4 linked regions of the Alligator mississippiensis genome follow. The protein of the gene in region 4 interacts with the protein of the main gene of each other region in a pairwise test. Links are inferred from orthologs where the notes say so. Each region holds a gene or a part of one and is shown on either strand. Other genes may lie near its edges.

What was found.
Region 1: the proteins of ZCCHC10 (region 4) and TFCP2 interact in binary tests that used the Homo sapiens proteins (3 or more experiments, as listed by UniProt). The two-hybrid records come from large-scale screens. The link is inferred for Alligator mississippiensis from reciprocal best matches to the Homo sapiens genes ZCCHC10 and TFCP2.
Region 2: the proteins of ZCCHC10 (region 4) and THAP1 interact in binary tests that used the Homo sapiens proteins (3 or more experiments, as listed by UniProt). The two-hybrid records come from large-scale screens. The link is inferred for Alligator mississippiensis from reciprocal best matches to the Homo sapiens genes ZCCHC10 and THAP1.
Region 3: the proteins of ZCCHC10 (region 4) and PRR13 interact in binary tests that used the Homo sapiens proteins (3 or more experiments, as listed by UniProt). The two-hybrid records come from large-scale screens. The link is inferred for Alligator mississippiensis from reciprocal best matches to the Homo sapiens genes ZCCHC10 and PRR13.

The regions. Positions count from the first base shown.
Region 1 is NC_081838.1:10,252,508-10,260,281, reverse strand, and holds the start of TFCP2 (alpha-globin transcription factor CP2), read right to left. Parts: upstream 3,588-7,774; 5' UTR 3,392-3,587; coding exon 3,270-3,391; intron 1-3,269.
Region 2 is NC_081826.1:155,713,651-155,722,176, forward strand, and holds the start of THAP1 (THAP domain-containing protein 1), read right to left. Parts: upstream 3,486-8,526; 5' UTR 2,413-3,485; coding exon of another isoform or gene 2,352-2,412; coding exon 2,281-2,351; intron 1,609-2,280; coding exon 1,413-1,608; intron 1-1,412. Other genes in the region: transcription factor JunD-like, read left to right, coding at 6,794-7,963. UniProt on the Homo sapiens protein: DNA-binding transcription regulator that regulates endothelial cell proliferation and G1/S cell-cycle progression.
Region 3 is NC_081838.1:8,754,846-8,761,915, forward strand, and holds PRR13 (proline-rich protein 13), read right to left. Parts: upstream 2,342-7,070; 5' UTR 2,154-2,341; coding exon 2,135-2,153; intron 2,032-2,134; coding exon 1,631-2,031; intron 1,375-1,630; coding exon 1,336-1,374; 3' UTR 759-1,335; downstream 1-758. Other genes in the region: AMHR2 (anti-Muellerian hormone type-2 receptor), read right to left, coding at 3,798-3,926, 4,022-4,158, 4,596-4,743, 5,551-5,711, 5,860-5,974, 6,565-6,792. UniProt on the Homo sapiens protein: Negatively regulates TSP1 expression at the level of transcription. This down-regulation was shown to reduce taxane-induced apoptosis.
Region 4 is NC_081832.1:66,930,972-66,939,058, reverse strand, and holds the start of ZCCHC10 (zinc finger CCHC domain-containing protein 10), read right to left. Parts: upstream 3,317-8,087; 5' UTR 3,269-3,316; coding exon 3,186-3,268; intron 1-3,185.

The sequences.
Region 1 (7,774 bases), on a different chromosome or scaffold from region 4:
TTTGCACTGAGGTTTAAGAGTGGGCCAAGACCTGCCCATCGACAATCTACTCCAAAAAGATCCTTACACATGACATGACTCAAATAATGTGATGACAGAAATATATGGCAATGGCCTATTTGTGATTGAGCAGAGAGAAAGCCACTGGAGACTCCAAAGGAAGAGGTGTCACTGCCACAGCAGTATTGTGATGGTGCCTACAAATGCCAGCCAGCATGTCTGGCATGGCACAAACCCCCACCTGACAGTTTATCACCTGAATAAACAAGGCACTTTGAAGAGGAGACAGGCATAGGGTTGCACTGCAAGTCAGCAGCCCAAGCCAATAACAGAGCCCTGGTCTCTTCCCTCTGCTCCCATCAGCTCCACAGACCTGTCCCCTTCCTGGGTGCTGGGACAGGGAGCAGTGGGAGTAGTCTCTTCCAGAAGCCCCATCACATAAAGTAGCTTTCCCTGTTTCCTTCTTCTGCCCCTCAAGCCTCAACTGGAGTCATCTTCTCTCTTTTACTGCTCTTCCTCCAAGCACTGAAGAACAGCAGGCAGCTCAGGTTGCAAGAGTCTGGACAAGCTGATATAACTGAAGGGTTAGTTAGGACTTGGACCTTTTCCTCAAGCATCACAAGCCAAACAGAGAAGCTGGAATCCCCCCACCAATATCAGTCTCTAACTGCTTCTTGGGGCAGGAAACCGATCTCTGTAGCACTTGGCTCAGCAGAGCCCAGATTCTTAACAGGGGTCCCTACGCCTACAAGCCTTGGCCATGGGTCAGAGGCCAGCATGTGAGATGCTACAGTCACAGGGCAGAGAGACAGTCAGAAATAAGTGGGAGAAGCCTTAATTATCCCTGGCACCAGTTTAAATGAGGGATCATGCCCATATAATAAAGAGCTGCCATTTCACACTGCCTGTCCCTCATGGAGAGGGAAAGAAACAGGAAATACCGCTGCTCTATGCTCCCTGTTGACTGGAGAGTGCGGGAAAGGCCAACGCACTGCATGTAAAGCATTAGCGCCTTGGGAACGGTGGCATCCACCCCCGGGAAATGTCATGGTGGGAAAAAGCGATATCCACCACAGACTTTCCCTCTGGGGATGGTTATCACTACAGCCCAGTCAAGACCGGGAAGGCTCCCAACAGCTTGTCCAGAGGAGGGTCTCACTGGGGAATGCCCCCCTGCCCCTCCAGTCTCATCTGCCCTTAATCCCCCAGAGCCCACGCTTACCTCTTGTGCCCCTCACTTACACAAAACTGGGGGTTTAACCACACTCAGCTGCCCCCGTGCTCACAATTATCTCACGGTGAGCAAGTGCTAAACCCAGTAATGTGGCCCTGTTTTATTTGGGGACAACTAGTTTAGGCCTCACCATGGGACAAGGCTGGGGGCAGGGAGGTAACACGGAGCGGCCAAGTTGCGGTAAATTCTCCGTGAACGACGGACACGTGAACAGCAATAACTGCATGAATGGAGTTGCATGGAATTACGTGACTGTGAGGGCAAAAAAAGGTTAGGGCTGTCTCCTCCACCCATGCCTCCGCTGCCATCTTAGCATGAATGACTCAGATCTGCTCCTCCAGCCCTGACCCATCTCATCTTGGCCCATATCTCAGACATCTCTATGTCAGCACCAGCTTTCTGTGGCTGAACTCCGGATCCTGCCCCCACCACTGCTTCCAGAGCCTTCTCATCACTCGGGTGTGTAATCAAGGAGTCATCTCGGACTTCCCCCTCCCTTTATTTCAAGCAAGTTTTATTCTGATTTCACCTCAGCTGGGCAGGAACTGTTGTGAGCAAACCAAAGTGCAAACCGACTGGATCTTCCCTTCAACACAACTCCCCCGCTGGCTCCCCACGCCATTCCAACGCAAGGTATAGTTCAAGCAGCCGATTCCCCCTACCTGCAAGGCCCTGCTTCCTCTCTATTCCCCCTCACTGCCACATGCTCCTTCCCAAGCCAAAGTCAGTCTCATGCGGCCCTCCTTCTGCATTCCCCCTCACGCCTGGCGACTCTGAGCTCTCACCCCCTCTTCTCAAGTAGATCCCCACACGCTTTGCAGGGCAAGTGCTGCTTCCCTGACCTGCTACCTGGTCTCCTTGATCCCTTTCCTGGAAGCCAGAAGATCCACAGGAAACAAGCAAGCTGGAGGGAAACAGGTGGCACTTTCTATTAGTTGGGGTAGTGGTGGAAGGGAATTATCAATACGTACGAGCCATAAAAATCGCACCTACTGGCTATTTATCGCTCCCCCTGACTCTGCCTATGCCCCGCACCTTCTCGGACTACAAGCGTGACTGTCACCATCCTGCACCAAACCAAGGGTCTCCAGTGCTGAAAGCCTGTGCCGCTGGGACCAGAGGAGAGCATGCCCTGGATGGGTCAGCAACACATACAACTCTTTTGACGCACACCTCTCCCAGTACGGCACCTATCACACAAAGGCCCCAAACACTGGTGACCACAAAACAAGCACGAATTACGCACTTTATCACCCTTCGGCAACGACTCGAACTCCTCCCTAACCCACAGCGCGGGGAGGCCAGGTCTGAAGCTAAGGTCTGCATTCAAATCATAGCACAGCACTCAAAAGGGGCTTCTTCACTTCCCCCTCTCCCAGGGGCAACTCATTAGGGCAGGATGACGCTTCCAGGTGGACTCGTTGATGTGGCATCAGCCGCTCTGCATGGGATCAGCAGCCCAGCGGATGCCTGGGAATTAAGGAGCCTCCACGTCCCCTCAGCCCAGCTCCGTCACCTGTCTCCAGCTGTGGCCAAATCCCTGCTGCTTCCAGAGGCAGCACCAGGAGAGACAGACGGAGTCCAGTTCCCGGCTCTCAGGTTTACGCAACGCCGAAGCAGGCGGCACCGTTACACCACTTTGCCTTCGGACAAATTACTCACCCAGGTTGTTAAAAACCCTGGAGTCTCCCACACCAGCCTCGTGCCGAGGGCAGCGCAGGGCTTCCCGGCGCCGGGTCCCAGTTCTAGGTCTGTGCAGCGCTGGAGTATCCTAAATTGACCTCCCTTTCCTTTCGCTTGGGAGGAGGGAGGAGCAGGTCCAACTGCCCTCGAGGGGTGCCAATAAACGCCGGGCACCAGGCAGAGGAGAAGGAGTCACCTACCACGCGGCAACGGGATACGGCGCTCGCGCCCACGCAGCTCAGCCACGAGTCACTGGCACCCACGGACGCGCCCCGCGCCCTCCCACGACGCCCCGCCACGCGCCAGTCCCCAACGGGGCTCCCTTCGCAGCGCCGCGGGGCGGTCTCCCTACCTCATGCTGTAGGCCCCGGCGCCCAGCTCCTGCCCGATGCCCGAGAGGCTGGCATCGAAATCCTGCACCAGCCCCGACTCGATCACCTCGTCCGCCAGCGGCAGCTTCAGGGCCCACGCCATCCTGGCCGCTCCGGGGGGTCAGCGCACAGCGAGCCCCCACGGGGCCGGCCACCCCGCAGACGCCCCCCTAGTCCCAAGGCACGTGACCCGGGGGGGGGGGGACCCCGGCCCCACCGCTACCACCACCCCTGAGGGCGTTCCGGGGGCGCTGTCCTGCCCAACAAGCGGGGCTCCCAGCACCCCAGCCTTGCTCCCGCCCCGCCCCGCCCCGCCCCTGCAAGGGATATTAGCCCCCCGGCACCCCCCACCCCCACGGATTTTAACCCCTCACACCCCGTCACCCTCAGGGGACGTTAACCCCTCGCACCCTGAGGCCCAGTCTTTCCTCCCAGGAAATTTAACCCCTCACACCCCCCCTCCTAGGGAAGTTAACCCCTCACACCCCACGGCCCAGTCTTTCCTCCCATGGAAATTAACCCCTCGCACCCCAGGGCCCAATTCCCTTCCTACCACAAGCCCGGCCCCCGGAGCGCCCGTTCCCCGCGAGGCCCCGGGCGCAGCTCGGCGCCCCCGGCGGCCCCCGCAATATGGAGGCGGCAGCGTCGCGGACCCCCCACGCCAGCCCGGCCGGGAACACGCCCCGCCCCCGTCTTCCGCCCGCGGCCAATGGCGACGCCCCTGGCCGCCCGACGCGCACGCGGCGCCGGCCAATCGCCGCTCCTCTGGGGGCCGCGGCCCGGGGGAGCCGCGCCGCGATTGGCTACGAGCGCGGGGCGGGGCGGGGCCGGCGGGGTGACGGGACTCGGCGTGGTGGGGACCAGGTTCGGCCTCCTCCCCCCTCCCTTGGAGCCGCGAGTTCGAGTCCGGCCCCGCCCCGGGGTGTTAACCCTTCACGCGCCTGGCCGCAGCGGGAGGGCATTGCCAACCTGTGCACGTGCAGATGCTGCCCGTGTGCAGTGCGCATCCCTCCCTTTGTGGCTGCCTGTCTCCCAGCACCCAAAAAGCTCCCCCCCCCTTACAGAATTAAACCCTGATGATTTGGGGATTAAAAAAACAGGCCTGATCTCTGCCTCCCTCCTGCCTGGAGAGCACCGGTCCGTGCAACCCTCCTTCCCGCCAGCCTCGAAAATCATCCGGGCTCCTAAATTTAGCAAGCTCTGAATTTTTTTTTTTTTTTTTTTTTGGGGGGGGGGGGGGGTCATTTTTCTCACCACCTTGCAAAAAGGATGTGGACCAGGATGCCATCTGGTGGCGAACCCTGCTCTGCAGTCCCAGCCCGACCTGGGGGTGGGGGGTCCAGTCTGGCCTGGGGGGCGCAGCAGGTGTCTGGGTGCGCGCGGGATGCTTCGGCAGCGCCGGCCGCTGCGGGGCACGCGGCGCCCGGCATCGGGTCCCTGAAAGCCGAAGACAGTCGTGGAAACAGATGGAAATAGTTTTCAGATCACCGTTTTATCCCAGCGGGGCCGCGAGTTGGGTGCACTTTTGCAAATCTACCACTGCCGCCAGCCAGCACATCTGGATCCAAGTCAATAACCCAGCACGTCCAGATCCTGCTCCAGATCGACCGCCCGGCACATCTGGATCCTGCTCCAGATTGACTGCCAGCACATCTGGATCCTGCTCCAAATCCACCACCCGGCACATCTGGATCCTGCTCCAAGTCAAACAAGCGGCACATTTGGATCCTGCTCTGGACCGACCACCCGGCACATCTGGATCCTGCTCCGGATCCACCATCTGGCACATCTGGATCCTGCTTCAAGTCAAACAACCAGCACATCTGGATCCTGCTCCAAGTCTACCATCCAGCACATCTGGATCCTGCTCCAAGTCGAACAACTGGCACATCTGGATCCTGCTTCAGATCGACCGCCCAGCACATCTGGATCCTGCTCCAGATCCATCATCTGGCACATCTGGATCCTGCTCCAAGTCGAACAACCGGTACATCTGGATCCTGCTCCAAATCCACTGCCCGGCACATCTGGATCCTGCCCCAAGTCTACCAGCTTGCACACCTGGATCCTGCTCCAAATACACCACCTAGCACATCTGGATCCCGCTCCAGATCCACTATCTGGCACATCTGGATCCTGCTCCAAGTCAAACAACTGGCACATCTGGATCCTGCTCCAAGTCGAAGAATTGGCACATCTGGATCCTGCCCCAAGTCTACCAGCTTGCACACCTGGATCCTGCCCTAAGTCTACCACCTTGCACATCTGGATCCCGCTCCACATCCACCACCCAGCACATCTGGATCCTGCCCCTTGTGAGGCCTTTTGGGGCTCTCTAGTGCCTTTTGGCAGAAGCAGCCATGCTTCCCGAGGTCATATTTAGATCACCAGAGGTTTTAATACGAAGCGGTGCCTGTCCCTTGCAAGAGTTATGCTGGGGGGGGGGGAGGGGGGGGAATAGGAAGATAATAGAGAGGAGGGAATCTACCCAGGGTTCACTGAACCCACTGGCTTCCTGGAGGACTCCTTGACCAGGCCAGGAGGATCTGGGATGAGCTGAGCTGAGAATCCCTCCCTCCTGGCCTGAGCCCACTGCTTCACCATGGCAGAAGCAGGGAATGCTGCTCCAGGATGGCCATTCATAGTTTCATAGATGTTAGGGTCAGAAGGGACCTGAGCAGCTCATCAAGTCTGACCCCCTGCCATGGGCAGGAAAGAGTAGTGGGGTCAAATGACCCCAGCTAGGTGATTATCCAGCCTCCTTTTGAAGACCCCCAGGGTAGGAGCCAGCACCACTTCCCTTGGAAGTTGGTTCCAGATCCTAGCCACCCTAACTGTGAAGTAGCGCCTGAACCTGAACCTACTTTCAATCAACTTATGGCGATTATTCCTTGTTACTCCCGGTACTGCTCGGGGGAGCAGGGACTCTCCATTGCCTGCTGGTCCCCCTTGGCCAGTTTGTAGATGTCCTCCAGATCCCCTCTCAGCCTTCTCTTGTGAAGGCTGAACAGGTTCAGGTCCCTTAACCTCTCCTTGTAGGGCCTGCCCTGCCGCCCCCTGATCATGCGGGTGGCCCTCCTCTGGACCCTATTAATGCTGGCCACATCCCTTCTGAAGTGCGGCGACCAGAACTGGACACAATACTCCAACTGCGGCCTGATCAGTGCTGTGTAGAGGGGGAGGATCACCTCCTTGGACCTGCTCGAGATGCATCTGTGGATGCATGACAAGGTGTGGTTGGCCTTCCTGACCACGTCCCCACACTGTCAGCCCATGTTCATTTTGGCATCAATAATGACTCCAAGATCCTTTTCTGCCTCTGCACTGATGAGAAGGGAGTTCCCCAGCCTGTAGGTATGCCGCTGGTTCTTCCCCCCCCAGGTGCAGCACCTTGCACTTGTCAGTGTTGAACCCCATCCTGTTCTCATCCACCCACCCCTGTAATTTGTCTAGATCTAGTTGTAGCCTGTCCCTCTCCTCCAGCATGCCCACTTCTCCCCATGTTAGTGTCATTGCCTTGTGCGCCCCGTTCCTGCCCCCCTTCTCACCCTGCCCAAAACCCATTCACTGACCATACAAACTTCAGGCAGATTCTCACCAATTAAAGACAAGGGGGGGGTTGAAAAAAGAAAAATACTGTTTATTTCACATGACTACATCAAGTGCATTAGTCTGACATGGCCATGGCAGCGAGAACCATCGGCCAGACCTCTGGTGGCCCCCCACCTCTCCCCACAGCTCATAAAATCCAACAGTACCTCTCCAACGTGGCATTACATGGGAGCGAGGGGGCCCAGCGTGCCCAGCAAGGGTGATCCAGGTGTGGGAGCCCAGGAGAACAGGGGCTTGGATGCAGGCAATAACACAGCAGGTTCTGATGACGCGGTATACACCCTCCCTGGGGTACAGACAATATGAAAGTGTTAGTGCCCCCAGCCTTCTCCCTCCTTCATCACCTGCACAGCACCAAACACTTCCTTGAACAGCCCAAGCTTCTCATGTTTGTTAGGGGGTTATTCAATCCTAACTCACCAATTTGGCCTCTTCCAAGAAGTGGTGCATCCTGACAAATACTCACCTCTCCACTTTCTCTGGGCAGATCCAAGTATTTCCCCTGGATTGGAGGCTCTTCTACAGGCAAGGACAAGCATTGGGGTGTTGCTGGAAGACCCCAGGTGGTATATGCCTCATAGCCATGCTAGCTGCCCGGTGCGAGGCTTGATTGGCTGGTCTTGCCCTAAGAGCTGCATCCCCAGCTCAGCACAGGGAACAGAGCAAGGCATCCATCAAAGCCAGCTTGCCAAGCAAGGAGAAATCCTTGAGGAACAGAAATCCCCCAATTTCCTTAGGCATAGTCAGAGACATGCAGACACTGTTGCCCAACAAAGATGCATTAAATCAGACATGCTGATGATCTCCCCAGTCCGCAGCCCAGCTCAACACAGCCTGAAGGCATTTCTACTTATGGTAGCACCAAGCCAGAGCA
Region 2 (8,526 bases), on a different chromosome or scaffold from region 4:
TAGCATTTCAAGGAAAGCCTCAAGTCTATCCAGGCTTGCCTTGAGTCTGAAAAAGGCTGAGAACCACTGCCTTATAAGCAGGGATCTGCATTTTCCATTTCCCATGGAAAAACCATGGATGTCCCATTTTTATTAGAGAAAACACGGATTTTCCCTTTTAGAAGAGAAACCCATGGATTTCTCCCTTTTGCAAAGAGCTCTGTAGGCTGCCTGAGTTCCAGCCTGCAAGAGCTGTCTGCAAAAGGGGTGGGAAACCCTCAACCCTGCCCGGAGGGGAAGGGAGAGGGGCAAGGGCAGGTCCTGACATCAAGTCTTACCAGAGGCTGCTTCAGGCTCACTATTCTTGCTGGAGGTAAGTGGAGCTTGGGGGTTGCACGACAAGGCTGGGGGGGAAAGCTGGGTAGGGGCTGAGGGAACAGGGAGGTTTGCAGCCAGCTGGGCACTCCGGCTGGGGTGAAGTTTGCAGCCTCCCCACTCCTGGCCAGAGTGCTTGGCCAGCTGCAAACTGGAGTGCCCAGTCGACTGCAAACCTCCACACTCCCTCAGCCCCCAGCTAGGTACTCCCTAGCCAGGAGGTGAGGTTTGCAGCTGGCCAGGCACTCCGACCGGGAGCAGGGAGACTGAACACGCCCCTCCCTACCCCAGCTGGAGTGCCGGCCAGCTGCAGACTGAGTGTCAGAAATGCTGTGCTCCCTACCCTGCTTCCCTCCCCCAGGCCCTCCGGAGCGCAGCGTGTGCAACTGGCACGGCAGGGCACAGTAGGGCCACACAAGAAAGCTGCCTGCTGCTGCAAGCTCCATTCTGCCCTGGCCACACTTCCTCTGTGTACATGGGGGCAGCGCAGACCCGCCCTGTCCCCACCCCCCACAGATCTGGGGGGCATGGGTCCCCCCTGGCTCCCAGGACTGCACGCTGCCATGGGGAGCTAGCCCTGCCCAAGGCAGGCAGGCAGCAGTGGGGGGAGCTGGCTCATGCTCCTACTGTAGCAACTGCTGCCTTCCGCTGGGGGCTGTGGACCTGGGTCCCTGGCCCCATAGCCCTAGCAGCTGTGGGCTCTTCCAGCAGGGCTGTGGGACAGGGGCACAAGCAGGACTGGGGGACAGGAGTGAGAGACACCAGCAGGGCTGTGGGGGGGATGTGGAGGGCATTTAATTTTAACCACAGATTTTGGGATTTTTATCAGAGAATTTACAATTTATCAGAGAATTGGGGGGGGGTTATAATGGAAAACCAGGATCCCTGCTTATAAGTTGACCAAAACTATGATCATGCACAGGGAACAGTCTCCTTCCCACAGTTCTCCTTCTTGAGGTTAAAAAAAAAAAAAAAAAAAAAAAAAAAAAGCATGCATTATATATCTACATATGTAAATTTGTGTCAGTCACTCCTTAAAGAGGAGTTTTCATGGTTACCTTTTCACTGGGTTCAGTGTAACAGAATATTGTGGGCACGGCGTTCTCTTTCAGGAGCTTATTGTTACACTCCCTTTTAAAGCAATCAGGAGTGAAGTGTTCTGAGCAAATGCTGCTGTACTTTGTTGGCTTGAAATTTTTCCTTTTCACAGCGGTTTCCCATTTCTTACAGAGATCAGGCCTTGTGAGAGGAAACCTGCAACCAAGAGGCACTGTCAGCTTCCTGTTGGGACTCTCGTTACATGCGAGCATGGCAGCACATGTTGGACACTACTATGTGCGCCGCCACTACTTGACTCGCCGGCCAGCCGCTTGTCCCAGCAGCTGGCTCCAGGCACCAACAGGGGACATCAATTGGGCCACATGCTGGGCCTCGTTTGAGGCACATGGATTTCAGAGACCTAAATGCAGGCGTGCATAGGTATTCATGACACGCAGGCTACCACCACCTGCCAAAGAGCACCAGAGGGTAGGCTAGAGATGCACCTCTATAGACTAACGGCATCAGATATACATACACACATCCATAGGCACGTGCACATATGTACATACATACAGACATGTATATAGACATGCATATACGCATGCATGTGTAGGCAGAAGTTGACTCGCCTGACCATAGTGCATGGGTGGGGTCACACTCCCCCCCACCTTGTGGCCGAGAGGCATGCTTAGTGCGGCTGCCAGGGGCCGCCCAACACCCCTCACGCGAGGTCCGTCCCGCCTCCACGTGGGGCTGCGCGCGCACCCGAGGCTCCTGGAGGTGACAGGCCCCGCCCCCAACCGCCGCCGCGCGCCCCCTCCCCCCGGCCACCGGGCGCGCGCGGAGCTGCGCACTGGCCCCGCCCCCCGCACCGCTCGCGCTCACTTGTGGAAGGAAATGGGCTTCTCTTTGTCGTATCGGTTCCGGCAGCGGTAGGCAGAGCAGGACTGCACCATCCTGTCGCCCCGGGGCCGCCCGTGCCGGCGATGCTTCGGCCCGGGGGCGCGGCGGACGCATAGGCCCCGCTAGCTCAGTGCCCGGCGCCCATCCCCCCTCAGCGACCCCCTAGGAGCGACATAAACAGGACGCGGCCTCTCCCAACTCCAAGATGGCGGCGCCAGCTTCAAGGAAACTCTCGCGAGAGCTCCCAGTCGCATTTCTCCATTGGTTCTTTCCTCGCGCGTGGGCGGGACCTTTCCGATCTCCCAGCCAGTAGCAGCAGAGGCTCAGAGAGGACGCTGGCTGTAATGGCCCCGCCCCCTGCCTATAGCGGGACCCTGCCCCCACGCGTCCGGCTCGCGCCTCTCGGCCTCTGCCCCGCCCCGCCCCGCCCCGCCCCGCGGGGGGGGCAGCCGTGCACGTGGAGCGCGAGCGGGTGCCTTATTGTCGAGCGTCGCATTCCTGCCCTGGTGGTAGCTGCTGCCCAGCTGCTCCTAGCTCGCCGATCTGAGTGCTGCAGCTTACGCGGGAAGGGGGACACTAGCTCCTTCCTACGGTCAGCTGGTAAAGGAGGGCACGGGGCTGCACTGCAATGACATGTTCTGCGATGAGCTGCAGGGCACACAGTGGAGATGCTTCCGCGTGTGAATTGGGAGTAGGCTTTGAGTATTGCTGTCCTAGAGCGAGGTGGGTGCGAGCCTCGAAAGCCCCGGGCGTGTTGCAGGGGCGGGCTCCTGCGAGGAGACCCGGCTGCAGGGAGTAAAACTGGATATTCTCACCGAAGTATTGCCCTGGGTTTTGGGGGAGATGTTCCCTTCGGGCTTCAAGTGAAGGGTCAGTTTTTCAAGCCTTGACTTCCACAGTTTCCAGGGATTGTCATTCTGGCTTGACTGAATACAGGTAGTCCTCGACTTTGAGATGTTTGGAGTTGCAACGAATGGCACTTACGTTTATAAATTGACACTTTCCACTTTCTGACATCAGTTTCAACTTTACAACACTTGATTCAACCCCACGCGAGCAAAAAAGTTTGCTGCATCGCCCATCTCCCTGGAGAACATCTGTCCAAACTTCCCTGGACATTTTCTTTAACAAAGCAGACAAGACACCAGAAAAACCTGCAGCCAGGACTCCTGAGAAGACTCCAGCCAAGCGCCCTTCAAAAAGTCCAAGCAAAGTCACCTCAAATAAGTTCTTCCAAATCAATATGATTGCTGTTTACAATATAAACACATTAATGTAGCTACATTATTCATCTATAATTGATTGAGTACAAAATTCTGGGTTATTTTGGGTGAAAATAGGGTATCAGGCCTTGGTTCAGGAACTGATCCCCCATTTATAACATTGTTTCCTATGGGAAAATTAGTTCCGAGTTACCATGTTTCGACTTAAGACGCTTTTTTCAGGAACCAATTGTGTCCTAAGTCTGAGGACTGCCTGTACTCTACAAAATCTGGGCACTACTTTAAAAAATAACAACTTGTGACAATATTAGTATACTGTACTATTGAAATTGGGAATGTGAAGAACCTATGTGTCTATTCCATTCACCCAACAGCAACTCAAGAACAAATTTCAGCAGACCCCAGTAACAAATCTAAATAAGATAGACAACATGGTTTAAAATAAGCATCTCTGTTGTTTTTATTGGGGGGAGGTCTCTGCTCTTTCATTGGTGGGATTCCCACTCCAACAGCTTAGATCTTCAGATTGTGGTGGGAAGCATTTTTAATGTAGCAATGACCAGCAGTAGCTTGTTAGGATGAATGGCAGAGGTCCATCTCTAATGCCCTCTGCGGAAGGAAAATTCAGCTACTTCCTAGCCCAGGATTTACTTGTAAGGGTCTGTCTCAAATCAGCTCTGTCTGTGATACAACTCTTCCCTGTTGAGGAGGTAACTAGTAGTTTTCTGGGACAGCCCTGCCACACCTGCTGGGCTTTAAGAGACTGGTGATGTGACTTAGTGCCTCCCACTTTATGTAGATGGAACGTGGTAGCCTGCTTGTTTGGACCTGGACTACCTTTTGGGATACCAGTTCTCATTGTGTCTATAGGCTCACCCTCTTTCTCCAGAATATCAATACGATTGATCTTTCAGGAGAAACTAACGTCCTTGGTAACGTAATTTGATGTGTATCCTCAAAATTCTTCCATAACCCACTGTTTCTTTTCCCCACAAAACCTGCATCTTCCCTGCCGTAAGCACCAGTTTCCCTAAAGCCCCACAATCTCCCTGGTCTCTGCCAGACCTGTTTTCTTCTGTTTTCCTTTGCACTTTTCTCTATCAAGCCTCCAATTCTCTAATCCTGTATTTCTTGAAAGTCCCCCAGCCAATTCTTGCTGGTCTTTCTGCTTCCCTAGATATCTGCTTTCCAGGTACCACTCCAAGGTGTCCCCACCTCGCAGTGCCTTTCCTAATATCCCTTTTCCCCTACATTTTCTCAGAAACTCACAATGACCCTCCTTACTCCAGCCCCCTCAAGCTCTCATTTCTCTGTTAATACCTGTCATACTTCCTGTTTCTCAAGGTCTCTCATCCTCTTTCTATTCTGAGTCTCATTTAGCTACCCTTCCCTAGAGTACTCCCTAAGATGAGCTACAAAGGGTGATACCCAGCTGCTGCCCAGCATTAAGGCAGACTACTGCAGGTAGCAGGAGGCTGGGGTATAACATGCTGACCCAAACTACTGCTGCTGACTAGAAAATTTTTCCTCAGACTCTTTGACTCTTGCAGCCCCTAAAGGAATGCTCCTTTATGTAATGTTGGGTGAAGAGGAAAACCATTTGGCAAGTCAGGCAGAGGGCTCCTTGCTTGTCAGCCTCTTCCCTTCCAGTTGATTTTGGAGCAGAGCCAGGAGGCACAGCACCATAGCCCAATACCACTGAGCAGCATGCAGGTGAGCATGAGCAATGTGGGTGCAGACAGGCTGAGCAGGCGGGTGCCTGGGCAGAAAGGGAGCCTGGTCCTGAGACAATGAGTGAAAGTGTCCAAGGGTAGTGATGGATGACTTTTTGGCCCTGTGGGTCAGATGAGTGGCCTGAAGCTGGTCTGTGGGCGAGATGCCTTGCAGTGTTGATGCCAAGGTCAGGCTCCAGTGCCCAGTGCCAGCCTAGCCCTGTGCACCTGATCTAGCACACAGAACCACACTATCCAGCCTGCAGGCTCCCCACATGTCCCAGGAATTTGGCAGCAGGGGAGCAACAGTTAATGCTGCCACTACTACCAAATTTCCAAACCCCTGGGAAGCCCTGGCTCCAAGGGCCAGAGCCAGTTGAACACCCCTGTGTTGGGAGAAAGGATGAACAGATGTCCTGGGGGGGGGGGGGGGGTCTTGTGACAGGAGAACAGGTGGAGAACTCACAGGGAGCACTGCTCTATTATTTGTGGATTAGTTATAGCACGCCCTGATGGTCACTCACTCAGTGAGCTAAAGGGAACACGTCAAGATGAGCTGTCACCTTTAACATGATGGCTTTAAGCATGAACACTGCCTGCCCCTGGAGGCATGGTGAGCTCCCAGAGGTGGTGGGGAGGAGGGTGGCAAGTGCCAACCAGTGGTCGGCAACTACCTGCAGACACTGGTGGCAGCGGCCAGTGGCAATTGTGGATTGCCCGCAGACGCCACCGGCAGCGTCGGTGGCAAGGAAGGGTGGCGAGTGGCAGCCAACACTATCTGTGGCACCTTTTGTCGGGGTGCACCACCACCCTCGGGGTGTATGTGCACCTGTGTGCACCCCCTACGTGTTGCCAATGGCTTTGAAATCCCTGAACAAGACTCTGTCAGCAGAACTCGACAGAATCCAGCTGTCCCACCCAGCAGTTACCTGGGGGCTCCGCTTCGTGTGTCCCCAGTGAGGACAAAAGGCCAGAGTCTCCAAATGTTGGGAGCTGAAAAACAAAACTGTTGAAGTTTGAAAACGCCCAGATGGGGCAGTCCAACCAGCTGCAGTCAGAAACATTTGTAAAAGAACCCCCTCCCCCCAAAACAAAACTCACAAACCTGCATTTTCTCACAGGAAAAAAACCCATCACTGAGAAGTTTCTTAACCCACTCCCCACAGGTGAAGGCTTGCCAAAGGTTTCCGGGCCTGGCCCGAGCAAGCTGAGCCCCGGGCGCCCTCGGGCGGGGGCAGCGCGCTCGCTTCCTCCTTCCAGGCCCCGTCGCCCCTCCGCTCGCCTTCCTCGTGTGCCGCGGGCGCCAAGCCAGCTCTCTCCTGGGCTCGCCGAGGCGGCGGGGTGGGTGCCGCCGACGCGGCAGACGCGGAGCCGCGTGCGAGGGCCGGGCCCGGCGCCGCCCCGCCCCTGCCGGGGCTCTCGCTGCCGCCCGCCAGCCCCGCGCAGGCGGCTCCGGCTCCGCTGGCCCCGCGCGCCGGGCCGAGGCGACCCGCCCCGCGGCCGAGCGCACAGCCCCGGCCCCGGCCCCCGCGGGGGGTCGGGGTCCCTTCAGCGGCCACGATGAGCGGCGGCGGCGGGAGGGCGGGCGTGAAGATGGAGGCGCCCTTCTACCCCGAGGAGGGGCTGGAGCTGCTGCCCGACTTCGTGCCGCTGCACGGCTTCGGCGCCGGCGGCCCGGGCGCGGAGGCGGCGGCCGCGCACAAGCTGCTGCTGGGCGCTGGGAAGAAGCGGGACCTGGCTGCCGCCTCCCCCGCGCCGCTGCCGGGGCCCTTCGCGCTGCGGCCGGCCGGGGCCGGGGTCGGAGCCCGCTCCGCCGCTGCCCTGCGCCTGCTCCCCGCCGCCGCCCCCCCGCCGGGCGCGGGGCCCCGGGGCGGCCCGGAGGCGGCGCTGGTGGCGCCGGGCGCCCCGGCCGAGCTGCCCCTGCTCAAGCTGCCGCCCGCCGCCGACCTGGAGCAGCTGCTGATCCAAGGCGCCGGCCCCGCCAGCCCCGGCCCCACCGCCGCCGCCGCGGGGCCCTTCCTGTACCGGCAGCAGGTGACGCAGGAGCAGGAGGGCTTCGTGGACGGGTTCGTGAAGGCGCTGGCCGACCTGCACAAGCAGAACCAACTGCTGGGCGCGCCGCTGTCGCCGCCCGGGCCCTGCTGCGCCGCGCGGCCCGCGCCGCCTCCCCCCGCCGCCGCCGCCGCCGACCCGCCCGCCGTCTACACCAACCTCGGCAGCTACAACCCCGCCGGGCCGCTCAGCCCCTCAGGCGGCTCCTACCCGCCCGCGCCGCCCGGCCTGCCCTTCTCGCCGGCGCTGGCCGGGGCCGGGAGGCTGCCGGCGCGGGCCCCGGAGGAGCCGCAGACCGTGCCTGAGGTGCAGGCGCCGCCGGCCGAGGCGGGGGGCGCGGGGACGCCGCCGCCACTGTCGCCGCTGGACGCCGAGAGCCAGGAGCGGCTGAAGGCGGAGCGCAAGCGGCTGCGGAACCGCATCGCGGCCTCCAAGTGCCGGCGCCGCAAGCTGGAGCGCATCGCGCGGCTGGAGGAGAAGGTGAAGGCGCTGAAGGGGCAGAACGCGGAGCTGGCCGCCACCGCCAGCCTCCTGCGCGCCCAGGTCAGCCAGCTGCAGGGCCGCGTCCGCAGCCACCTCTCCAGCGGCTGCCACATCAACGCCTCCGCCTCAGCGCCTCCCGCCGAGGGCCCCGCCGAGCCCGCCGCCGCCGCCGCGCCCGAGACCAGCGCCTGCTGAGGGGCCCGAGCCAGGACGAGAAAGACCCGGCCCGGCCCGGCTGCCCACAGCAGCGGGAGCCCCCCGGGGAGAGCTGTCCGCTCCTCGCCCCACGCCTTTCGGGGCGCGGGGAGGCCCTGGGCGCAGAGGTTAGGAGGGGCTGTTGACAAAAGAGCTGTTCGGGACCTAGGCTGAAGGTTGCTGCTTATTTATTGATGCCTGGAAAGGAAGGACGCTGGGCTCTAGACGTCTTGTTAAGGTATATTTATGTTGCACTAGCACAAGGCTGTTTTGTACCGCGGGTGTTTCACTCCGTGAGCCAACTTCCAGGGAGGATCCTGCATTGCAAAGGAAGGGTCTTTGTGTGGAGGGGGGCTCGCTTTCTTTCTTTCTTTCTTAGAAAAAAAAGAGTTTTATTGAAGAACGGGAGAAATCTGCAGAGATTTCAGGACTAAAGGCGTTCCTGTTTACAAAAGAAATTCAACTTTATTTCCCTGCAGATATGCTGCCTCAAGAAATAGGCTATGGTGATTTAATATGTTCATTCAGAGCTTGGGAAAGCCAGATTCGTACTTTTTTCTTTC
Region 3 (7,070 bases), on a different chromosome or scaffold from region 4:
TCAGCGGGTCCTCAGGGGCCGGCACCAGGCAGTGCCCTGCTCGGCCAGCCTGTTTTTGGCCTCCTGAGAAGCCCCTCAACCCGGATGTCATGGATGTACCTGGCTCAGGGGTCTGGATGCCACTGGGGAGACCCAACCTGTGGATATGGCCACGCTCAGCAGTGCAGGGCTTTGTACAACACCTTGCACTCACGGACCACAGGGCTCCTCTCCTCTCCCGGACTCCTGCAGCTGGCGCTCCCCGTCCTACCCTGTGCAGTGGGTATGGCTGCAGCCCGGCCTCTGCGGCCAACGCCAGCCCCCACCCCAGAAGAGCTGCATGTTCCTGCTGAAATAAATTAGCAGGTGAGGGCCAGCAGTGGGCAGAGCAGGCACCTCCCAACCCCACCTGACAGCGGGGTCACAGCCCCTCCTGGGTTACACCAGCGGCAGGTTGGCCTTGCGGGTACCTGGGTCTGGCCCCACCACCTGCCCGCCTCCTTGCTGCAGCCCGAGCTCAGTTGGGCTGGATCTGCTCCTTTCCCCGGCTCACGGGACTCCAGGTGCTGGGGATTTCAAGGCAAAGCCAGTGCTCCAGAATAGGACAGTCGCATGCACCAGGAGGTGCTGATCCCACAACACAGCCCAGCCCACAGCGGGGGTCCGGTGCACCCCATGGGTCAGGGGCTCCGCTGACCATGAGCCCCCCCGGCCCTGGACACTGGCTACAAAGGATTCTGGGAAGCCACCGGCGCCACAGAGGGTCTGATACCAGTGGGGGGGTTGAAACCAAGAGGCTTTATTGAAAGGCGAGTGCAAGGCAAGCGCTGCGGAGCCCGGAGGGAGCTCGCGCCCCCACCCAGTCGCCCCCAGTGCAGGTCTGGGGCTGAGGACCAGGCAGGGCCTTGTCCTGCCCAGTCCTGACCGTGAGGTAGGCAGCGTCCAGGCTGCACTAGATCACAAGAGCGAGCCTGGGATTGGTCAATTCCCCCCACTGGGACCCCTAAAAAGATCCCCTTGGCCAATCCATAACACCCCCCTCCCCCAGCATCAAAGCAGCCAATCGGGTGAAGCTACACAGTGCAGGGAGGAAGGGATTGGCTGGGGGAGGGGGGGGTCTGGATTTCCTTCTGGCTTGTGAGCAGGCCCCAGGTTGCTGAGGCCACCAGGGATTGAGTGGATCACCCCAGATCCCGGCCGGATCCTGGCTCTGGTGCCTGGCGCCTGCTTTTAGCCCTGATCCCAGCGCGGCAGGGCCTCGGCCTGGGGCCTCAGGGAGTGGGATGATCCAGGGGCTTGGCTTCCGCAGGCGGGCAAAGGTTGCATCTCCTGGCAAGCTGCGGCGGGCGGGCGGGCTCAGTCGGAGGAGCTGCTGGAGGATGAGGAGGAGGAGCGCTGCGGGGAGGAAGAACCCGGGCGTGAGGCTCATGGGCGGGAAGGCCAGGCCCCACTGTGCCCTGGGCGCTCCCATGGGCATGCAAGGGGGCAGGGGGGAGAAACCCCTGGCGGCAGCTGGGCTGAGACCCCTCCAACTCCGTTCACGAGACACCCCACCGCCCGGCTGGGCTGGACCCAGCGTTTAGGAAGAGGCAGCTCCCCCACCCCGTGGGGGTCAATCCCAGGCTGGGTTGGCCCCAGGACCCCCCCTCACCTTCCCGTGCAGCTTGTGTGGCTTGTGCCCCTTGTGCGCCTTCTTCATCTTCTTCTTCATCTTCTTCGCCGCCTTCTTATCCAGCGCAGGGGCCCCGGGCACCAGGGGGGCGACAATGCCCATCCCCGCCGGCACCCCGGGGCACATCGGGGGGTAAGGGCCCCCGGGGTAGGGGGGAGGCACTGGCTGGCCTGGCAGGTAGGGGGGCTGGCCGGGGCCGGGGGGCATGGGGTAGGAGCTGGGGGGCATCGGGCCCTGGGGGTAGGTGGGATTTGGCCCCAGGGGGGGAGCTGGGATGGATCCCGGGGGGTAAGCGGGGTTTGGCCCCGGGGGGTAAGCCGGGTTTGGCCCCGGGGGGTAGGCGGGGCCCGATCCGGGGGGGTAGGCGGGGCCGGGCTGGCCTGCAAGGGAAGCAGAGCTGCAGTGAGCGTGCAAGGGGCGATCGGGGCCACCGCCCGCTGCCCCGCGCCCGGCCCCGGCCCCGGCCCCGGCCCGGCCTCCCACCTGCGCTGGGGTCCCACATGGCCGCAGCAGAGCGCTACCGCCGTCGCCTCCGCACCGGGACAGGGAGCGGCCTCCGCCCCCCCGCAGGGCCCGCCCCCGGGGTGTTAAAGGGGCAGGAGCCGCCGGCCCCGCTCCGGCAGCGCCGTCCAATGGTTAGAGCGGCTCCAGGGGCGGGGGGGATCGCCGCGACGTGCGGGCTTTAGTGGGGGGGGAGCTCGGACACCCGGGGTCAGCCGCGCCCCGGCGAGGAGCCGCCCCCGCCTGCCCGGTCCCCGGGCTCCGCACCGCCTGCCTCAGTTTCCCCCAGGGTCCATCGCCACCTGCCTCAGTTTACCACGGAGTCCGCACCGCCTGCCTCAGTTTCCCCTGGTGTCCTCCCCCGCCTGCCTCAGTTTCCCCTGGTGTCCACCCCGCCTGCCTCAGTTTCCCCTGTTGCCCCCCCCCGCCTGCCTCAGTTTCCCCTGGTGTCCTCCCCCGCCTGCCTCAGTTTCCCCTGGTGTCCACCCCGCCTGCCTCAGTTTCCCCTGTTGCCCCCCCCCGCCTGCCTCAGTTTCCCCTGGTGTCCTCCCCCGCCTGCCTCAGTTTCCCCTGGTGTCCTCCCCCGCCTGCCTCAGCTTCCCCTGGTGTCCGCCACTGCCTGCTTCAGTTTCCCCTGGTGTCCCCCCTTCCTGCCTGTTTCCCCCAGGGTCTGCCCCCCCCGCCTCAGGTTCCCCTGGTGTCCTCCCCCGCCTGCCTCAGTTTCCCCTGGTGTCCTCCCCCGCCTGCCTGTTTCCCCTGGGGTCTGCCCCCGCCTGCCTCAGTTTCCCCTGGTATCCGCCGCTGCCTGCCTCAGTTTCCCCTGGTGTCCCCCCTGCCTGCCTGTTTCCCCTGGGGTCTGCCCCCGCCTGCCTGTTTCCCCCGGGATCTGCCCCCGCCTGCCTCAGTTTCCCCTGGGGTCCTCCCCCGCCTGCCCCAGTTTCCCCTGGTGTCCCCCCCGCCTGCCTGTTTCCCCTGGGGTCCTCCCCCGCCTGCCCCAGTTTCCCCTGGGGTCCTCCCCCGCCTGCCTGTTTCCCCTGGTGTCCCCCCCGCCTGCCTCAGTTTCCCCTGGGGTCCTCCCCCGCCTGCCCCAGTTTCCCCTGGGGTCCTCCCCTGCCTGCCTTTTTCCCCGGTATCCGCCGCTGCCTGCCTCAGTTTCCCCTGGTGTCCCCCCCGCCTGCCTCAGTTTCCCCTGGTGTCTGCCCCCACCTGCCTCAGTTTCCCCCCGGGGTCCACACTGCCTGCCTCAGTTTCCCCGGTCTCTGCTCCCGCCTGCCTCAGCTTCCCTTGGGGGCCCTGGCAGTTTCCCCTGCCAGGCCTGGGGGGCGCAGGGGGCAACACCAGGCCCTGCCCGGCTCATCTGAGCACCAATGAATTCATTGCTCCCGACAGCGCTGGGGCCACTGGGTCTCTGCAGGTGCCCACTCGGGGGGCTCCAACCCGGGTGCTGGGGCCCGGGGGCAGTCTCAGCCCTTCATTCAAGCTGGGGCACTCGCTGGGTGACTTGATCACACACTTTTATTAGCAAAGGCGCGTCGGGGATGAAACCCGGAGCCTTCAGCTTGCTCCGGTCATTGCCGCCGTCCTCAAGGTGGCAAGGATGAGCAGTGAAAAGGGAACTGGAAATAAGGAACCGCGCCCGGCTGGCTCAGGGCCCCCCTAAGGGAGGCTCCGGCCCCAGCTGCTGCAGGCGCTGGTGGGCGCACTTGGCCGTCAGCCGGGCCTCGGGGTCGGGGTCCCAGCAGTCCTCCAGCAGCTCCTGCAGGCAGCCGGGGACCTGGCAGAGGAGAGGGGGGCATCAGGGGCCTCCCTGGGTCTCAACCTTGCAATGGGGGGGTGTAGCCCCTGTACCCCCCCCCTTGTTCCCCTTACCCCTCTGGTGCCCATCCAGGCCTGGGGGATGGCTGGCCTCCGCTGCTGCTCCACCGCCAGCCTCCGCAGCGCCATGGGGCTGGGGCTGCTGCCCAGCTCCGCCTCGTAGGCCAGCCGAAACTCAGGGACGCTGCAGCCTGGGGGGGCACAGCCAAGGGAAGGAGCCGATTCTCCCACCAGCCCCACCCTGGGCACTGTACGTACCCCCTGAGATCTGCTAATGTCACAGTCCACTTCATTACGGGCATGGCCTAGGTGCTCGGGGAGTGGGGGGGCACGATGCTATGTAAAGCAGCCCTGGGGCTGCCCAGCCCTAGATGACCCCCAGGCTGGGCAATGCCCCCTGCTCCCAACTCAGGGGCTCCTCCCCCTCCCCCCCCGCAGTCTCACTGTCCTGTGCCCCCCACCCCCACTGGTCCTGACTGCACCCCCCGGGCTGGGGGGGCAAGGGGTGAGTCTGGGTGCTGTTCCCCTGGTGCCTGTCCCCACCTGCCTCAGTTTCCCCTGGTGTCCCCAGTTTCCTCTGGGGCCTGTGCCCCGGTGCAAATTGGAGGCTTGAACCCGGGGCCCTCACCTGGGAAGAGCGCAGGGCAGCGCATGAGGATCTCCCAGAGCACCAGGGCAAACGCATAGACGTCGGCCTGCTTCAGCGCGCAGCCCCAGCGCCGCAGGTCCAGGCTCTCGTCCAGGATCTCGGGGGCCATGTATCGCTGTGTCCCCAGCTGCCGGAGCACGCGCGCATGAGCGCACACATGCACTGGGCTCTCATGAGCACATACACTTGTAAGTGCCGGGATGTGTGTATATAAGTGTCTGGGCATGCCAGTCTCTTGTGAGTGCGCACGCATGTGAGATCATGCACATACGGGCTGTCATGCACACACGCAGGTTCTCGTGAGCACATGTGCACGTGAGTGCACACACACATGCGTCAGGCTCTCATGAGCGTGTACACATGTAAGTGCATGGACATGCCAGGCTCTCATGAGCACATGCAGATATGAGCACACGCACGTGTCAGGCTCTCGTGAACACATGCACATCCCAGGCACTTGCGAGCACATGCATACATGAGCACATGCACAAGTGAGTACACACACTCATGAGCACATGCACACACAAGTACGCGCACACACACTAGCCACATGCTCAAGAATACAGACCCACACGTCTCAGCCACTTACCCATGCACATGCCCAGCCCCACACACATGGCATGCCCACATTTGGACATGGCTGGGTTGAAAGTTGCACACACAAGTACCAGCCTGGCACACCCCAGTAACAAGGCTCATACGCACCAGGGGTCACTTCTGGTGCATCCTGGGGCCAGGACTCACATGCAGCTCTACCCCGGCTGTGAGGCTGGCACATGCAAGTATCCATGTGTGCACATGCCTGGGCTGAGATTTGCACCCACTGGTGCCCATGTTTGCAGCTCTGGATCACAGCTTGCACGCACTAGTGCTATGGCTTGCACGTGGGCTCCTCCCTGTCCCACCCCCCCGGCCCCTCTGCCAGCCCCGGTACCTTCCTGATGGCGGTGGGCGAGCGGTCCCTGGGCCAGGCCTCGGGGCTGGTGGGCAGCACTATAGCCAGCCCAAAGTCGGCGATGGTGCAGGCCCCGTCGTCCCGCACCAGCACATTCTGGCTGCTCAGGTCCCGGTGGGCCACGCTTGGCTTGTATAACCCTGGGGCGTGCAGGGGAATGGGGGGGGGGGGGTGGTGAGTGGGGTGCCAGAAGTCCCCCACCCAGGGGAAGGGGGGCATGGCAGAGACCCCCCAGGTCAGCCAAGCTCGGTGCATGGGGGCTGGGCAGGCAGGTGGAGGGGGTCTCACCATCGCGCCACAGCTCATCATGGAGGAAGGCCAGGCCGCAGGCCAGCGACAGCGCCAGGCGCACGGTGCCCTCCCAGGGGCTGGCATGTTGACCCAGGAAGTACCGCAGGGAGCCCTGCGGATGGACAGATGGACGGGGGTGGATGGACCCCTCTTGCTCCTAGCCTCCAGGGACTGGCAGGGCCTGGGACCCCCCTCTGTTCTCTGTCACTTCCCCCCTGCCTGCTCGCCCGCCCTGTCTGCCCCATACGAAGCTCTCAGGTCCGACAGAGCCCCCCACCCGGAGACACCCCTGCTCCCCCCACCTTCCGTGTGCTGAAGGAGGAACCCAGGAGTCCCAGCATCAAAGCCCATGCTCTAACCACTGCCTCTGCTCCCACCCTAGATGGGATGAGAACCCAGGTGTCCTGGCTTCAAGCCTCCTGCTCTGGCCATGAGGCCCTGTCCCCTCCAAGCCAGGTGTCCTGGCTCCCAGGTGCCTAGAGGCCTCCAGCCCCCTGCTATGCAGCCTGGCCCCCCACACCTGCTGACCCCCGCATCCCGCCCCTGCAACCCCAGCCTTGCCCCCAACCCCCTGTACTGAGCTCTCATCTGCACGATGGATGGATGGGACAGACCCAGGCCACCAACCCTAGGTCCCAAGAGCTGCCCCCCTGCTCCAACACCCCATACAACCCAAATACCAGCCTTGAGGCTGCGACTCACTTGGGCATAGAGCGGCATGACCAGCAGCCCACCTCGCCTACTGGGCCCGTCCCCCCGCCTGGCCTCCAGGAGCTGGACCAGGTTGTCATGGTTCATGAGAGGCCGGCTCAGGACACCCCACTCAGCTGCGAAGTGCTGGTCACTAGCGGCAGGGAAGGCCTTGATCACCACGGGCACCCCCCGCAGGGAGCCACGCCACACCATTGAGAAGCGCCCGGTCTGCAGGACCTGTGGGCACAGACCCCGTCTAATCCAGGGCACTGCTGGGGGAAAGCTTTCAGCACTAGGGGTTAGGCTAGGGCATTGGTCAGGGGAAGCTCCCAGCACCGGTCCCAAGCCAGGACACTGCTGAGGGAGGGGAAGCTCACAGCACTAGGGGCCAGGACAGGGCACTGCTGTAGGGGAAGCTCCCAGAGCCAGGGTGTAAGTCAGGGAACTGCTATGGGGAAGCTCACAGCGCTGGGGGCCAGTCCAGGGCACTGCTGGGGGGAAACTTGCAGCACTAG
Region 4 (8,087 bases):
TGTTTTATTTTTTTTTTTTAAATAGAAGGTAACAGCAATTTGGTTTTCTTACTATGCAAAACAAAATGGTGGACTGATTTAAATCAAGCAGACATACATGGTTTAAAGTAGTTTTAATCCTGCTTTTTATTTGTACTTTATAGTTATTTTAATATGGAAGACTTCATTGTCATTAGTTGATATAATCATTAAAACATATTGATTTACAACCAAATATAACATTTTCAGGAATAGCAGGAAACTTGACCTTTAGACTGAGCTGACTGAATCGGAAAAACAGCTAAGAATTTCAAAAATGGTGAGGGGGCTGAGGGACATGACTTCTGAGGAAAGACGGAGGGAACTGAGTTTATTTAGTCTAGAGAAGACAAGACTGAGTGGAAATGTAATAGCAGCCTTCAGCTACCTAAAGGGTGGTTCAAAAGAGGATGGAGTTGAACTATTCTCAGTGGTGGCAGATGACAGATCAAGGAGCCATGGTCTCAAGTTGCAGCAAGGGAAGTTTAGGTTAAGATTATCAGGATGAACTCTCTCACTAGGAGGGTAGTAAAACACTGGAACAGGTTACCTGTAAAGGTTGTGGACTCTCCATCCTTGGAGGTTTTTAAGACCCAGATAGACAAAGCCTTGGCCGGGATGATATAGTGGGGGCTGGTCCTGCTTTGAGCAGTGGGTTGGACTAGATGACCTCCTGAGGTCCCTTCCAACCCTAATTTTCTGCTTCTGTGATTTTAAGTTTTGGTGCCTTGTATTTGTTCTACCTCCACCAAGGAAAAGAAAAAAAAATCCTCTCTAAATTAACATGGTATTTTTACCTCAGAAGCAAATATGACAGCTGGCAGTTGGCTTGGGTCTCTACAGAACAGTTCTCACACTGTCAAAATCATTCAAACTTCCTTAGTTTAGATACTAAAAACACACACTCAAATTGCCATTAAATCCATCATGTTTCAAAATGTTAAGTGTAAGAGTTACAAAACAGTTCAGTATTTGAAAGCACCCTTAAAACTATCTGAATTAATGCCATTCACTAAGCAAACTAAAAAGTATCAAGCATTTCAAACATCATCAGATTAGCTGAGCACATTTTCAGTATATATTTCAAAAGGGGCAAAAGTTGCAGGTGTTTTTTATAGTCTTCAAATGGCTCTTTGTAATTTCTTTGCGTCTCTCCTTTCACCATGCAACCAAAGAACAGTTTACACCTTACCCATCATTTTGAGTGTAACCAGTTACATATGGTACCCAAAAAACGCTGTCAATTTCTGGGATTATTTTGTGACAAACTACGTCTCAGTTTTTACTCACAGAAGGTAGGGTTTTGTTTTTTTAAATAAGTAACTTCAGCAACTATCCACATGGTATCATTAGCTACTAATAGCTAATGATGGAATCGTTAGCTACTAATTGAACAAGCTCATTATAAAGCATCTACATTAGAATTTGTGCTGGTTTAGAAGCGTTACAAGGGAAAGAGTCACAACAAATCGACACCAAAATACTAAGGAGTTTCTAGTGGCTACAGACTTGTGCTTCTGCCACAATTACTCTACAAGAGCAGAATTAGAAGGATATGGCCTCTCAAACTACATACAAACACAAATATTCAACTATTGGTGTCAAGTGTCAAACCAGCACATATCTGTATTCACTAGAGGACAAGGTAATATAATCAAATGTCAACATAGTAACATGCCATCTTTCAAGGCCACTCATCTTCTGATCCAGAAATAATTCCACACACTATGCAATTATAGGATCAAGACTTGAGAACAATATACTAATTGCTGAGAAGGACTGATCAAACATAGTAAGATGGCCATACACATTTCTAAACCCAGCCCTAACAGTAAAAAGCTCCCACACAAGTGCACAAGACCTAGCAAAACTCTTACCAAGCACTAGATCAACAACCACAAACTAACTGAAAACTGGGAAGACACAGAGCACAATACAAAAAGCACTCATGAACAGCATGTGAAAGGATGAGTTGAAGGAAAGAAACTATGTCCCAAGCCAAAAATAAAGAGGAAATTAAGATAACTATTACAGAGACAGTTAAGAATTGTAATTTTCCAATTAAAAAGAAGTGGGGGAAATCCAAATGTAAACTTAACAATAAGATGCAAATGCAACAAATGCTATCACACTATCCAGACCCTACAACACCAAAAATATATAAAAGTGACCCCCCAGGAATGGACTCCTAAACACTACAGTGAAATCCTATGTAAATTATGATACATTTCCTCTATTTACATAGCCGAAGTTTAGCTTTTTTTTTTTTTCTTTTCCCTTTAGCAAACACCAAAACCATTTTGAAATGCAGGTTTCCTTCACCAGCTGCTGGGGTTGGGTTCCTGGAAGTTCCCATGGTTGGCAAGACAAAAAGGTTATGAGAAAAATGGCAGGTGGCGGGCTGACACACGGCCGTGGAAAGCCACGGTTACTCAAAACTGTATACCATGGTAGCCAAAATGGTATATAGCATATTAAGCATGGATACTCAAAACCGTGGTTGGGGAGGGAAACCTGTACGCTACTGTGAGCAAGGTACTGCAACGTGATCGGCACGATTTTCAGTGGACATTTAAACTTTATCTTTGTGCTTCTCTACGAGTGCAAGGTGCCTTTTTCAACTTGGTGGGAACCCTGTCAGTCTAATACAAAAATCTCAGCCTCAGAAACCCTTGCCCTTTTCAACGTGAAAACAGGAGCGTGTCTTACGTCCCCAGCACGGGTTTGGCAAACCATGGACTCGTCAGGTGCGTCCTCCCAGGAAGGGCGGGAGTGCCAAACCCTCATCAAGGCCTCCCTCTTGGACCTTAATTACCCCCCTGACCTTAGCAACAAGCAGCACAATCCTAACCCGACTGACACCTCCTCGGATTTCAGCCCTGAGCAGCCTGGTGCTGTCAGCCACCACCCTCCAGGGCTGATGCTTGTGTCCAAACAAACAAGCACGGCACCTTAAAGGGGGAGGGGAAGAGTAAAAGGGGGAGGGGGCGCCTGAGAGCCAGCCCGGGCGTCACCTGAACCCACTCCTTCCCCAGCTCTGATATGTCAGCTCCAGGCCCCGGGACCACTTCACCACCCCCGCCCCGATGTACAGAGGGTCGGGGCGAAGCCCTCGGGCCGGGGGATCCCGCCGCCCCTCGGGCCCCGTCCCTGCCCCGCGCACTCACGCCTGCCGCCGAGCGATGAGTCGGTGCATGGGAGTCGCCATCTTAGCCCCTGGGCGGGAAGTGATGGACCCAGCGCGCGGCATGCCGGGCAATTCCGCCCTCCTCCTCCGTCCCCATTGGGGGACTGCCGGGCGGCTGCCACCGAGCGTGAGCCGCCAGCGGGCTAGAGAGGCCGCGCGCCGGGACGGTCCCCGCCTCCTCTCTACTCCTCCCCGCCGCCATGTTGGCCGGGGGGCGGGGCTGAAACAAGCCCTCACCCGAGGCGGGCACAGCCAGCGCTGGCATGACGTCATAGTGAGTTTCAGGGGGTACTGGCCGCACAAGCCGGGGTTGTTGCTGCGGCTGTGCTAGAGCAAGGGCTTGAGGCCAAGTGCTGGATCTGTACTGGGGTGAATTTGGTTTGGTAGCCGTGTTGGTCTGAGACAAAAGGAAAGGCAAACATCTAGATCTCTTGATACACCAATGATGCCTTGTATTAGATAGACCAACTAGGGAATCGCAAAAGTAGCATTCTGTATATCGCTGGTCTGGTACCAACTATCATTGGTATCATTGCTGAACCAAGAGGTCTCGCTGTTTGCACTTCGTATCTGTACCTGTCTGCATCACGCCGACAGTAGCATTTCAGTGTCTTTTTGACTCGGGGTCAAAACTTATAAGAATTTGTCATGGAATAAGAGGAGCGGGGAGGACGTCAGCTGCTCTGAAAAGCAAAAATGGGATCTGAGATGCAAATAGGACTTGAGTCCCTTCCCCCAAAGCTGAGAGGTAGCGGAGGTCTGGTGCAGCGAGTGGCGGGCAGGCTGCATGCACCTCAGGAAGACGCCAAACCTACATCTTTGTGGTCAGACCTGTGAAGTCTCCACTGCCCCCTGCAGCTCTGCGCGGTGGCAGGGCTCCACTCAGCTTTAGGGCCGAAACTGTACAATATTAGAGGTGGTCAAAAATGTTCTAAAGGAGATTTGTTCTGTCTCGGTAGGTTGTTACGGCGTGATGCACAGGAGTGGTGCTAACAAGGGGACTGTTTAATCTCAAATCCTTTTCTTTTATGATATTTAAAAAGTATATCTTGAGTTAACTTTTTTAAAGGATGCTGTGAACTCATTTTGGACTCAAGTGTGAAGGTTTGTATGCATGAGGAGAAAAAATGTGTTTTAACAAGTCAAAAAAATGTCAGTCAAGAAAAATTAGTTTTTGTTCTCATAAACATCTCCATGCAGTGCTTATAATACCTACTTTGATCACAGAGAACAAGGAAACTAACTCTGAACAGAAAGGACAATGACTTGCAATCTCAGATGACTTTGAAACAATCACAATTATAGGATCTACAGGGTGTTACCAAATGGATTTGTCTGAGCCATTCAGCACACTAGTGCTGACGCAGCAAGAGTTTCCATACATTGTCAAAAAAAATCCCCAACAGAAGAACAGCCCTGCAAACTATTACTTATGCAATCAAGCACTTTCAGACTCATTCCTTTTGCTGTAAGATTTGTTATTAGTGGATCAAAGACACTTTAAGGAGTTTGCAGAACATGGAGCTGACCATTGAACATTTTGAATTGAGAGCTTGGTTGCCTTTTTATATATTGATGGAGATAACATTTTTTGTATTAAATTAGGGTTTTTTTATACTTATAGGTTTTTTTTATCCTACCAGGCTTTATAGCTATGAATGATTGGTGTGCAAGTACACTCAGACTCGCATATTATATTTCAGACAAAAAAATACTTGTCCTTCATTTACAAGGTTTTCTTAGATTGGTCATATTTTAACTTACATGTAAACAAATGGAAAGATTTATGCAACTACCTGAGCCAATCTGTTTCCTTTTGTTTGTGTGTGAAGAGAATCCACTAAGATCTCTTAACACATACAGGCCTTTTGTTCTATAATGAATCTCAACTGATAGAATTGCACAAGATAAATGATATGGAGAGAAAGATATGGTGTGAGTTACTTCTGATGTCACATGCCACCACTTAGCAATGACTTGAGGTATTGACAAGAGCTTGACTGTGTACTGAATTCCAGAGCCCCAGAAATTGAAACAGGAAGCCAAAATGGAGGGGTTTCAGTTTTATATAGGTGATGCTGGGGCTTAGGGTCACAGGCCAATGGGCTAAAGAGATGGAGAAAACCACAGGTGGATACACATTAGGGTAAATATTCAGGATATACATAGCAGGTAACAAACAGTGACTTAGCTGTGAAACCATTCAGGGGCAGATAGCAAGGTAACAGATAGGGAACATTAACAACATTGTATATATGCTGAAGAAATTTCAGACCAGGAGTCAGTAACATTTTTGGGAAGCATGGCAAAAAGACCCCAACTTCAGCTTCTAAGATGTTAGCATACCAGAGACGGGCAGCAAGGGAGATGTGAGGGGCCTGATCCTAGTTGTGGCCTCACAGCCCCATCCCTTTCCCTGCTGTCCGTCTGGAGGCATGCATGCACCCACCGCCAGCAACAAGCCAGGCCAGGGCTCCACAGACCTCTGTGCAGCGACTTGCAGTCTCCCAGCTGCTTGCCACAGCCAATCTGGGTTCTGAGCAGGCTCCTGCCACCCGCCATGGAGCCTGGGCTGCTTGCAGCAGGCAACTGCAAAGTTGCAAGCTGTTGTACTGAGGCCTGCAGAGCCCCAGTCTAGCTTATGGCTGGTGGTGGGTGCATGTGCGTCTCCAAGCTGACAGAAGGGCAGCTGCAAGGGACCTTATCCTTGTTGTGGCAGTGCAGCTCTGGCCCCTTCCCTGCTGTCTGCCCCGAGGTACACATGCCAAGCAAAATGCCTTCATGATGCACATGTGCCAGGGATTGCCAATCCCTGCTTTAGACCCTCCCTCAACTCCAGAGGGAGCTGCAAACCAGTCTTTGCTCCCACAGAACACTACTGTCTCCCCAAGCTCTACTCCTGAGCCTGGCTGTGGTGGCTTGCAGATTCAGCTTTGCTACTGCTTTTAGCCTCTGCCATGAGTCTCTCCAGCTGCTGCCTTTCCCAAGCTGTTTCACTGCAGTCCTAGCTCTCCTTTGCTTCCTTTCTTCCCCAACAGCCTTATGGGAACTGTAGTTTATGCTACAACATTACAGTCCATTACCACTGTAAGTATAACAATTTGATAATAACTACACCCTGGTTTCTTCACATAAGTAGTTAATAAGAATTATAAGCAAGCATGTACCTGAGCTGTCAAGGAGATGTGACCATGTGGAAAGTCTGAAGTGGTATTAAAACTGTCAGATCCAAAGATATATTAGATAGTCCCCATCTTACAGAAAGGACTCATTTCACTCCTTCACAATTCTGGTATTTACTTGGATGTTTTCCACTTATTCCAGCTCTTAATTGGTATCAGGCCCAATTTTATGCACCTCAGTAACAGAAAAGAATACATCACTTCAATAGAAAAGATAAACTCAGACTTAAATATGAAGCCAAGATCATGGTTCACTAATATATATATATAAAATCTTTGCAAAGAGTGAGGCTATTAAGTACCAATATGGCATATGTCCCTGTATAAACCAAGTTCTGTAATGGTTTGTAAATAAATACAATGCTGGTACGCCTGGGAATCACGAGGAACATTCTTTGCTCCACTTCATGTGGCCTAGGGAGTGGATTCTTCAGCTATTCCGGCAGCAGCTGGCACTATTGGCTCTCATACTGCCTCCATATAGTCTCTGGCACAGGATAGGAGGCAAGGAGAGATGGAGAGCAGGAGTTCACCCCTTTCCAATTGTGCTCAGCTAGCAGGCAGTCTTTTGGGAACCAATGCCAGCTGACATAGGTTAAAGTTGCCCTTAACTTAACTTTAATGAAACAGAGAATCTGGCTCCCTACATTTGCCTTGAAATTGTCATTTTGGAAAACATTGCTGTCTCATGAAATAAAAGGCTCAGGTGACATTAGAAATTGAATTTAAAACATCTAAAAAGATTGTTTTTATAATCCTATATAGGACAACTTTAACACCAGTATCCTAGGAGCAATTCACATCCAGACTTTAATTAAAAAAGATCATCTATATAACATGATCATTGTCACTTATTTTAAGTGTTTATATGCTAATTGTATCTACTGAAATATGTGTTCATATAATTCTTAGAAATGTGTTAATTATGTGTTTATAGGGGGGTTGAAAATAGCCTTACAAATGCTTTGGTGGTATTCACCCAAGAAATAGTAGAGTTCCTGCTCCAAGACAAAATATAATAGGTGGGCATATCCCAGCAGGGGAATGGGGAAAGGAGAGGGTCACTCACCAGTACACACAAGCCTCTCCACTCTGTCAAGGTGGTAGTCTGTGGAGGGGAATTTTAGTACGTGTTGCACCCTTGGGAAAAGCCTGCACATGACATGTTTTATGTGAGGTGCCATTCCGCATCGTCAACCACATGAATCTTGGCAAAGGAGAAATCTGTGTGCAGTGGCAAGGGGATCCAAGACAACTGAGATTACTCCTCTATTGCAACGTTCATCCACCTTCACAACTGTTGAGAAGTATGTCTTCTGCATCCAGCTACTCCACCATTGAGGTCTTTGTGTTGTGGTGGTCTGCTCTTCATCTGATACCTCACCTTTGACCTTAGTGCCATGGGTGACCCTACCAGAAATACTGGGCTCCCAACAGTGTTGCTCTTAGGTCATTAGGGTCATTGACTACAGAATGGATGGGAACCTTTTCAATCTCTTCTGCCTCCATGCCAAAACCATAGCTGTGAAGGTTGGGTGACCTAAAGGGATCACCTGAAAAGCCTAGAATGCCATCACTAGTGCTACTTCCAGAAGATCCTTGGCATATAGAGGGAAGATCATCGCTAGGGCCCCACTGAATTCACAGCAGAAATGGGCTGCGCTGCAGCTCCTTTCATCTTTCAGGTTCCCCTGTGCAAC